Oryctolagus cuniculus: one gene and its partner. The protein of the gene in region 2 interacts with the protein of the main gene of each other region in a pairwise test. Links are inferred from orthologs where the notes say so. Each region holds a gene or a part of one and is shown on either strand. Other genes may lie near its edges.

What was found. The genes of interacting proteins can lie anywhere in the genome.
Region 1: the proteins of ZBTB9 (region 2) and MORF4L1 interact in binary tests that used the Homo sapiens proteins (3 or more experiments, as listed by UniProt). The two-hybrid records come from large-scale screens. The link is inferred for Oryctolagus cuniculus from reciprocal best matches to the Homo sapiens genes ZBTB9 and MORF4L1.

The regions. Positions count from the first base shown.
Region 1 is NC_091443.1:105,825,196-105,828,758, reverse strand, and holds part of MORF4L1 (mortality factor 4-like protein 1), read left to right. Parts: intron 1-1,212; coding exon 1,213-1,238; intron 1,239-1,635; coding exon 1,636-1,724; intron 1,725-2,903; coding exon 2,904-3,005; intron 3,006-3,563. UniProt on the Homo sapiens protein: Component of the NuA4 histone acetyltransferase (HAT) complex which is involved in transcriptional activation of select genes principally by acetylation of nucleosomal histones H4 and H2A.
Region 2 is NC_091436.1:135,695,458-135,699,778, reverse strand, and holds the start of ZBTB9 (zinc finger and BTB domain-containing protein 9), read left to right. Parts: upstream 1-1,509; 5' UTR 1,510-1,795; intron 1,796-1,979; 5' UTR 1,980-2,051; coding exon 2,052-3,479; 3' UTR 3,480-4,321. UniProt on the Homo sapiens protein: May be involved in transcriptional regulation.

The DNA of each region.
Region 1 (3,563 bases), on a different chromosome or scaffold from region 2:
AATGAGTTCCAAGACTAAATGAATATAATTCATAACATACATTGTTTATTATTTTTTTAAAAGATTCATTTATTTGAAAGAGAGGCAGAGAGAGAGGAAGGGAGGTCTTCCATCTGCTGGTTTACTCCCCAATTGGCTGCAATGGCCAGAGCCGCGCCGATCTGAAGCCAGGAGCCAGGAGCTTCTTCTGGGTCTCCCACGTGGGTGCAGAAACCCAAGGACTTGGGCCATCTTGCAGTGCTTTTCCAGGCCACAGCAGAGAGCTGGATCGGAAGTGTAGCAGCGGGATCTCAGCCGGCACCCATGTGGGATGCTGGCACTTCAGACCAGGGTGTTAACCTGCTGCACCACAGCGCTGGCCCCGTTTACAGAGATGGGGAACCATTTTTTTCTGCCAAGGGCCATTTGGATGTTTAAAACATCATTTCTGGGCCATATAGCATTATCAGCTTAAAAAGTAGCCTGCTATAGACTTACTGAATTCTGTGTTTTACCTGCAATTGCCTCAGCAAGGTCAGACCAAATGATTCTGTGGGCCTCAGTCTGGCTTGGATGTTCCCCACCCCTGGTGTTTTAAAACTATAGTAAAGTAAAATTCAGGTGTTCTGGAATGAGCCTACAAAAGTAATCCATAATCAAAGCTTTGTCAGCTGTTTTCTTGGGTTCTCGAAACAGCTATAGCTAATTGGGTAATATGATAGACTACAAAAAGGCATGAGTTTTTACTAAAGATAATAACATAGGAAGGAGACATCAGCTTTGTTCTAGATATGGTAGAAGAGGGTATAATATTTAAATGGAAGGATTATAGAGAAGAGAAAGTTAAGTTTGAACCAATGAGAGTAGAGTAACATTGCTGTTTAAGACAGGCAAGTCTATAAACAAAATTAATGTTTTGGGAAGGGGAACAAAAACAGTAGGGAAAGTAAAACTGAAGCTTCTTGGTAGAATTAGTAATGTAAACTTTAATGTAATACTCTTATAAACTGCATACTTTTAAAATATACAACTTTGGTAGAAATTATCATCCATGTATTGGGTTATTCTGTTAATAAAAATCCTTGTTTCTGAACAGCCCCCCCCCCCCCTTTTTTTTTAATTTTTACTGCCTCATCTTACCCAAGGTAGTCTACCTTTGAATTTAACTGTGATAAAAGAGATCTGAACAAAGGCTGTTTTTACTGAATTTTTTTTCTCCTTTTCTTCTTTTAGGAAAACCAAAAAGAACAAACAGAAAAGTAAGAATGTTAACTCTCTTAATATTGATTTATACCATTATAACATCTTTTAATTTGCTGTGTATGTTTCTTGATGGTCGCAAATGAGTGTCACAGCAGTGTTGAGATAGATACACAGTGGGAGAGACCTAAGTCTGATGATCCTTATGCTGATGAGAAACTGTTAAAGATTTAAATATATGACTCCCCAGAAAAGATAACTTTTTTAAATAGATAGAACATAGTGATATTGTGTTGCTTATATAATGTTTGGTGGAGCTGATCCTAAAAGTTAAGCTTTCACTGAAAATAATTTTTTAACTTAGATTCAAGTAACAGGATCTGTCATAGGCTGTTTTTCTTAAAAAGTTATTAAACAAAATCCCCCTACCTCTGCCCAACACCCGTGTGTTAATAGCACCTGGAAATGGAGATGGCGGCAGTACTAGTGAGACCCCTCAGCCTCCTCGGAAGAAAAGGGCCCGTGTAGATCCTACTGTTGAAAATGTGAGTTTTTCTTGTGTAACTATTAGAATTTTCAGTCAGACACAACCTTCCTCCTTTCTGCCCTTGGGTAGAGGTTATATATATATATAAATCCTAATTTCACCTATAGCTCTCGACTTCCACACTTCATCACTTCATCATCAGGGGTTTACTGTACAAGTTCTGTGTTTTTTTTTTTTTTTTTAATTTTTTTAAAATTGTTTTTTTGACAGGCAGAGTGGACAGGGAGAGAGACAGAAAGGTCTTTCTTTTTCCGTTGGTTCACTCCCCCAGTGGCCGCTGCGGCCGGCACACTGCGCTGATCTGAAGCCAGGAGCCAGGTGCTTCTCCTGGTCTTCCGTGGGGTGCAGGGCCCAAGCATTTGGGCCATCCTCCACTGCACTCCCGGGCCACAGCAGAGAGCTGGACAGGAAGAGGAGCGACCCGGGGTGCCGGCGCCGCAGGCGGAGGATTAGCCTATTGAGCTGTGGCACCGGCCACAAGTTCGTGTTTACACACAAGATCAAGTATTTCTTCAGTGTTGGAGGACAGGATAGTTTTTTTAGGTCATATTAAGTGACCTATTCGAGACATATCCAAGATGCTTTAATGAACCCAAAAGAGATGCCATGAAACCCTCTAAGTTCTGTGCTTTAAAGATTTTGTTTATTTGAAAGGCAGAGATACAGAGGGAGGGAGAGACAGAGAGGTCTTCCATCCTCTGGTTCACTCCCCAAATGGCTGCAACAGCCGGAGCTGGGCCAATCCAAAGCCAGGAGTTTCTTCTGGGTCTCCCATGCAGGTGTAGGGTGCTTGAGCCATCTTCTGCTTTTCTAGGCCACAGCAGAGAGCTGGATCAGAAGTGGAGCGGCCTGGACTCAAACTGGCGCCCATATGGGATGCTGGCTCTGTAGGAGGCAGCTTTACCTGCTATGCCACAGTGCCAGCCCTTCCCCCAAGATTTTTGTCTTTACTTTTATACTATTTTTTTTTATTTTTTATTTACTTTTTTTTTTTTTTTTTTTTTTTACTTTTGTACTGTTGTACTATTTTTAAATGGACAGTTCTGCCTGTATATTTGGCATCTGCAAGCATTTGATCTATTCCTAGTGTCCTTAAAGGTCAAAATTTCCCTGTGGTCTAGAGTTACTCTTCAGCAAGAAAAGATGGGTTTCTGATAGTGTTGTTGTTTCTGTTTAGGAAGAAACATTCATGAACAGAGTGGAAGTTAAAGTAAAGATTCCTGAAGAGCTCAAACCATGGCTTGTTGATGACTGGGACTTAATTACAAGACAAAAACAGGTAACTTGAAAACGTCACAGATGGTGATCTGTGTGCTCATGCTCTTTCTTGCCACTCACTTCTGTTACTTCAAAAAGGAAAAAAAATAAACTTGAAGTTCTACAATATGATGAATAATATTTAGTTCAGAGACTGAAGAGTTATCAAAATATATTGGCTTTATGAGTTAATGGTTTAGAAAAAGGTGAAGATAATTCATTTCGGGGGTTGCTAGGTCAGAAATGATTCTGAGAGTTGATAAGTGCAGAACAGGTTGTATACACTGAGAATGGAATATCCTCACCGATGTATGGGTGGTAGAATGCAGACAGAAAGCACTCAGTACCACCTACAAAGTGGATTTCATGATCTCCAAAAGAACCTGAGTCTAATCAATCTTCTATGTGTAATTATTGGTTTTCAGGAATGGGAATGTTTAGTAGAGGAGGAGCATGTTGAACATAAAGAATTCGTTCATGAACATGAGGAATTCTGTAGGACAAATGAAGCAATTTAAAAGAAACATAGAGATTTGGGGTTAGGAATGGAGAGTAGAGGTTGCTTGGGGATGGTGACTTG
Region 2 (4,321 bases):
AAAGCCATGTCTCTCTCCCCCAGGGTGGGGGGACCTGTGTTGGAGGAGGGGTATTGGGGGGCTCCCCTTCCATGACTTTGTCCCCTGGGGGAGGTAGGACAGGGCTGGGCTTCCCTCTCATCCTCCCCCCCCCCCAATCTCCCTCCACCTCTCTCCCTCCCGCCAGCTCCACAATTTTTCGGTGTTTCTCTGTACATAGCTCTCTGGCGGGATAGGGGAGGTAGGATGGATGGGGTTTGGGGTGGGTAGGCCATGGGAGGGAAGAAGCCCCTCCTTGGTACCCCCTCCTCCCTGACTGCTGTCCCCTACCCAGCCTTGTCCCCTCATCCCTTCTTGCGTTTGGTATTGAGACTTTTCCCAGACTCCTCCCCTCTTTCTTTTGTATGGACAGTTCCCCTTCAGTCCCATCCCCCTACACACATACACCCAGCCGGGGCCAAATTTATACTTATATAAAAGTTGTAAATATGTGAAATTTTATCCCTGTGCCCTTCCCTCTGCTTTCCCCACCTCAGCCTTCCCCTCTCCTGCCCCCTTCCTCCTCTCCTCTTTGGCTGTTGTAATTATCTGGGGTTTGTACTGTACATATCCGGGGTGTGTGTGTGTGGGCTGGGGGCAACCCCCCTGTACAGAGCTTCCTGGCCCCCTCCCCCCCGCCACCTTAAGGGTAGGGAGATGCTCTTCCTACCCGTTTTATTTTGTTTTCTCGTTCTCCCTCCCCAACCCACTCCCAGCCTTCTCTATCCCCCACCGCTGCCCATTTTTCTCCACTCCCAGCCCCATTTCCTTTTTTTCTGGAGTGTGTGGTGAAACAGAAAAATCATGTTTAATAAACGGAGATTGTTCTTTTATCGCTGTGCCAACTTTCTCAGCCTGGGGGTGACAGGACTTTTAATTTTCTGAGAGGGAGCGGACAGCCTGGAAGGGAAGCCGACATCCCTGCCCGATGCCGGTCTCCGCACAGAAGCGCTGCCCCGCGCGGAGACGCAGTCTGGGGGTTCGTACGGCCCAGACTTCCCCAGTCCAGCCGACTGGCACCCACCGCTTGCTTCACTTACCCCCAGGAGCAAAGAGGACGGGATATAAGAGAACCCAGAAACGAAGCTGGCTTTGTTTAATTGGTGAAGGGCACGATTCCGTGCGGACTGCAGGGGAGCACTCGGCGCCTCAGCTAATCTGAGTTCCAGACCCAGCACTGCCGTTTCCCCGGCCCGGACGGCGAGGACGGCAACGCCTTGCTCGCCGGGCCGGGGGCACACAAGGTGCCACTTCACCTCGTCCCCCAGCACCTCGGCGCTGCGGGCGGCTGGCGGCCCGCCCTCTCCGGGCTGCGGTCTCCCGAGCCACGGCTTCCCCTTCGCAGCTCCCCGAGACGCCCCCACCCGCTCGCGCCCTGGCGCCGCCGGCCCGCCCCTTCTCGCCCGGGCAACCAATCAACACAGGGCTTGTAGGGCGCCCCATTCCGATTGGCTGCAGTTGTGCCCCCCCCCCCCCGCCTCTCCCGGCGTCGGCGTCCGGCGGGGAGGGGTGGCTTCCGGCCCGAGACGGCGCCGTAGCTGCAGAGAGGCTGCGAGGGCCTCGCCGCGTGTGTGACGGCGGGGGCGTGTCGGCTGGGGTCCGGGGCTCGTGATATCCCCGTGGCTGCGGCTACCCGGGAGCTGGCCACTGCGGGCACAGTGAGTGAAGCGAAGCGGGACGGAACGCCGGGCCGGGAGTCGACCCGGAGCTGGTGAGGTTAGGCTGGTAGCCGAAGGACCTCCTCATCTTCCACAAGGCCTGGAAGCTAAAACCAGGGGTTCGTGTTTTGTTTGTTTTTGTCTTCTTGGTGGGCGGGACTGGTATACAGACACAGCCACTGGCCGGAAGAGTTTCTACTTGTAGGTGGGAGGGGGGCATTTGTTTGCGGAGATACAGTTCCCGTTTTCTGGGGCTTGTGTGACATCCCCCCACCCCCGCACCCCATCTCTTTTGCTCCACAGCCTTCCTCTCACGTGGGTTCCACCCCAGACTCCGTCTCCTCTTGCCGACCCTCTGGGATCTCCGAGGAGGCCATGGAGACCTCGACGCCTTTGCCTGCCGCGCCCCCCTCCGCAGTGTGCAGCTCAGCACCGCGGACAATCCAGATCGAGTTCCCTCAGCACAGCTCAGCGCTGCTGGAGTCCCTGAACCGCCACAGACTGGAGGGAAAGTTCTGCGATGTGTCCCTGCTGGTGCAGGGCCGGGAACTTAGGGCCCACAAAGCGGTGCTGGCTGCCGCCTCTCCCTACTTCCACGACAAGCTGCTTCTGGGCGATGCGCCACGGCTCACCCTCCCGAGCGTCATCGAAGCCGATGCCTTCGAGGGGCTGCTGCAGCTCATTTATTCAGGGCACCTCCGCCTGCCACTGGATGCTCTCCCCGCCCACCTCCTTGTGGCCAGCGGCCTTCAGATGTGGCAAGTGGTAGACCAGTGCTCGGAGATCCTTAAGGAGCTGGAGACTTCAGGTGGTGGGATCTCAGCCCGAGGAGCCTCCTCCTACCATGCACTTCTTTCCACCACATCCTCTCCAGGAGGCTGGTGCATTCGCTCTTCCCCTTTCCAGGCCCCAGCACAGCCCTCCGCTCCTGCCGAGAGACCTGCATCTACTGAGAGCCCCATCGGAGGGGAGGGGAGTGAACTGGGAGAGGTGTTACAGATTCAGGTGGAGGAGGAGGAGGAAGAGGAGGAGGAGGAAGACGACGAGGAGGGCCAGGGGTCAGCAACCCTCTCGCAGACGCCCCAGCCTCAGAGGGTATCAGGGAGTCTGCCCCGTCCTCACGGATCCCTCGCCTTGCCCGTACCTGCTACTCCCCGCAGGCTGCCAGAGGGCGAAAATGCACCACTTGAGGTTCCTGCCGCTCCTGCTGCAGTGCCCCCTAAAATCTTCTACATTAAGCAGGAACCCTTTGAGTCTAAGGAGGAGTTGTCAGGAGGTGGAACCCAGTCTGGAGGAATAAAGGAGGAGACCAAAGCATTTCCTGGAGGGGACCCGGAGGGGAGTGGGGAGCTGGGGTTCTTGTTGCCCTCAGGCGTAGGGGCAGCATCTGGGGGAGGCGGTCCATCCTGGAAACCAGTGGATCTTCATGGCAATGAAATTCTGTCCAGCGGTGGAGGGCCCGGGGGAGCTGGGCAGGCTGTGCACGGTCCCGTGAAGCTAGGCGGGGCACCCCCTGCGGATGGAAAACGCTTTGGTTGCTTGTGTGGGAAGCGCTTTGCAGTGAAGCCAAAGCGTGACCGCCACATCATGCTGACCTTCAGCCTTCGCCCTTTTGGCTGTGGTATCTGCAATAAGCGCTTCAAACTGAAGCACCATCTGACAGAGCACATGAAGACCCATGCCGGAGCCCTGCATGCTTGTCCCCACTGTGGCCGTCGGTTCCGGGTCCACGCCTGTTTCCTTCGTCACCGAGACCTGTGTAAGGGCCAGGGTTGGGCCACTGCCCACTGGACTTACAAGTGACAGCTGAGGCCATCCACCAACTTGTAGGAGAAGGTAGCCATTGCTGCTGATGGATTCGTGCCCTTTACTACCCCAGACCTGGATCTCATAATCATGCCCAGTGGATAAATATGTTACGGATCTCTTGTCCTTGGGTGTAGGCCTCAGTCTGCCAGATTTGGAAACTCAGATTTCTCATCTCACCTCAGGTTTTTGCTAACCACCCTACAGGAAATAGTTTGTAGACCATTCTTAAACTGTTCACTTGCCCATAGTAGACTTTTTTATAGTGGTAGTATCCATGGAGGAAACCAGGTTTCAGATTGGAAGGTTATTTGGTGAGGGAACAATGAACAGCAAAAAGACGTACATAGTGGTCAGTGTTTTGTTCGGTCTCCATGAGGAGTTAAAGAGCTGGTCTCCAGTCAGGGATATGTTTCATTCAGAGGTCTAGTAATTGAGACTCAGCTCTAAACTGTGCTCTCCCTCATCATGGCTGGAATGATGTGAGCAGAGTTCTTATGTACGCTTTGTTCCCTCAGATTGTACCTAGCTTTCTCACCAGTAGGCACCTTTCCAACACTTTTTTTTTAACGTTGTAGTGAGCACTTTAAGCCGAGCATTCCACATGTCATTCCTAGAACCCTCTTTGATGGAGGGTATTCCCTCAACAATTAGTGCCTCTTGTCTACCTTTGACCACAACTAATAACTCGTATTTTGATCACAGTGACTGGAATGTGATCATTGAACTCAGGAGATGGCAGCTGACCTAACATGCTCTCAGGGTAGCACCACTGCTCTCTGAACAAGTTGCCATGGTCGGAGGAGCTCAGGGCCGAGACAGCGCATGCTGAACACTAG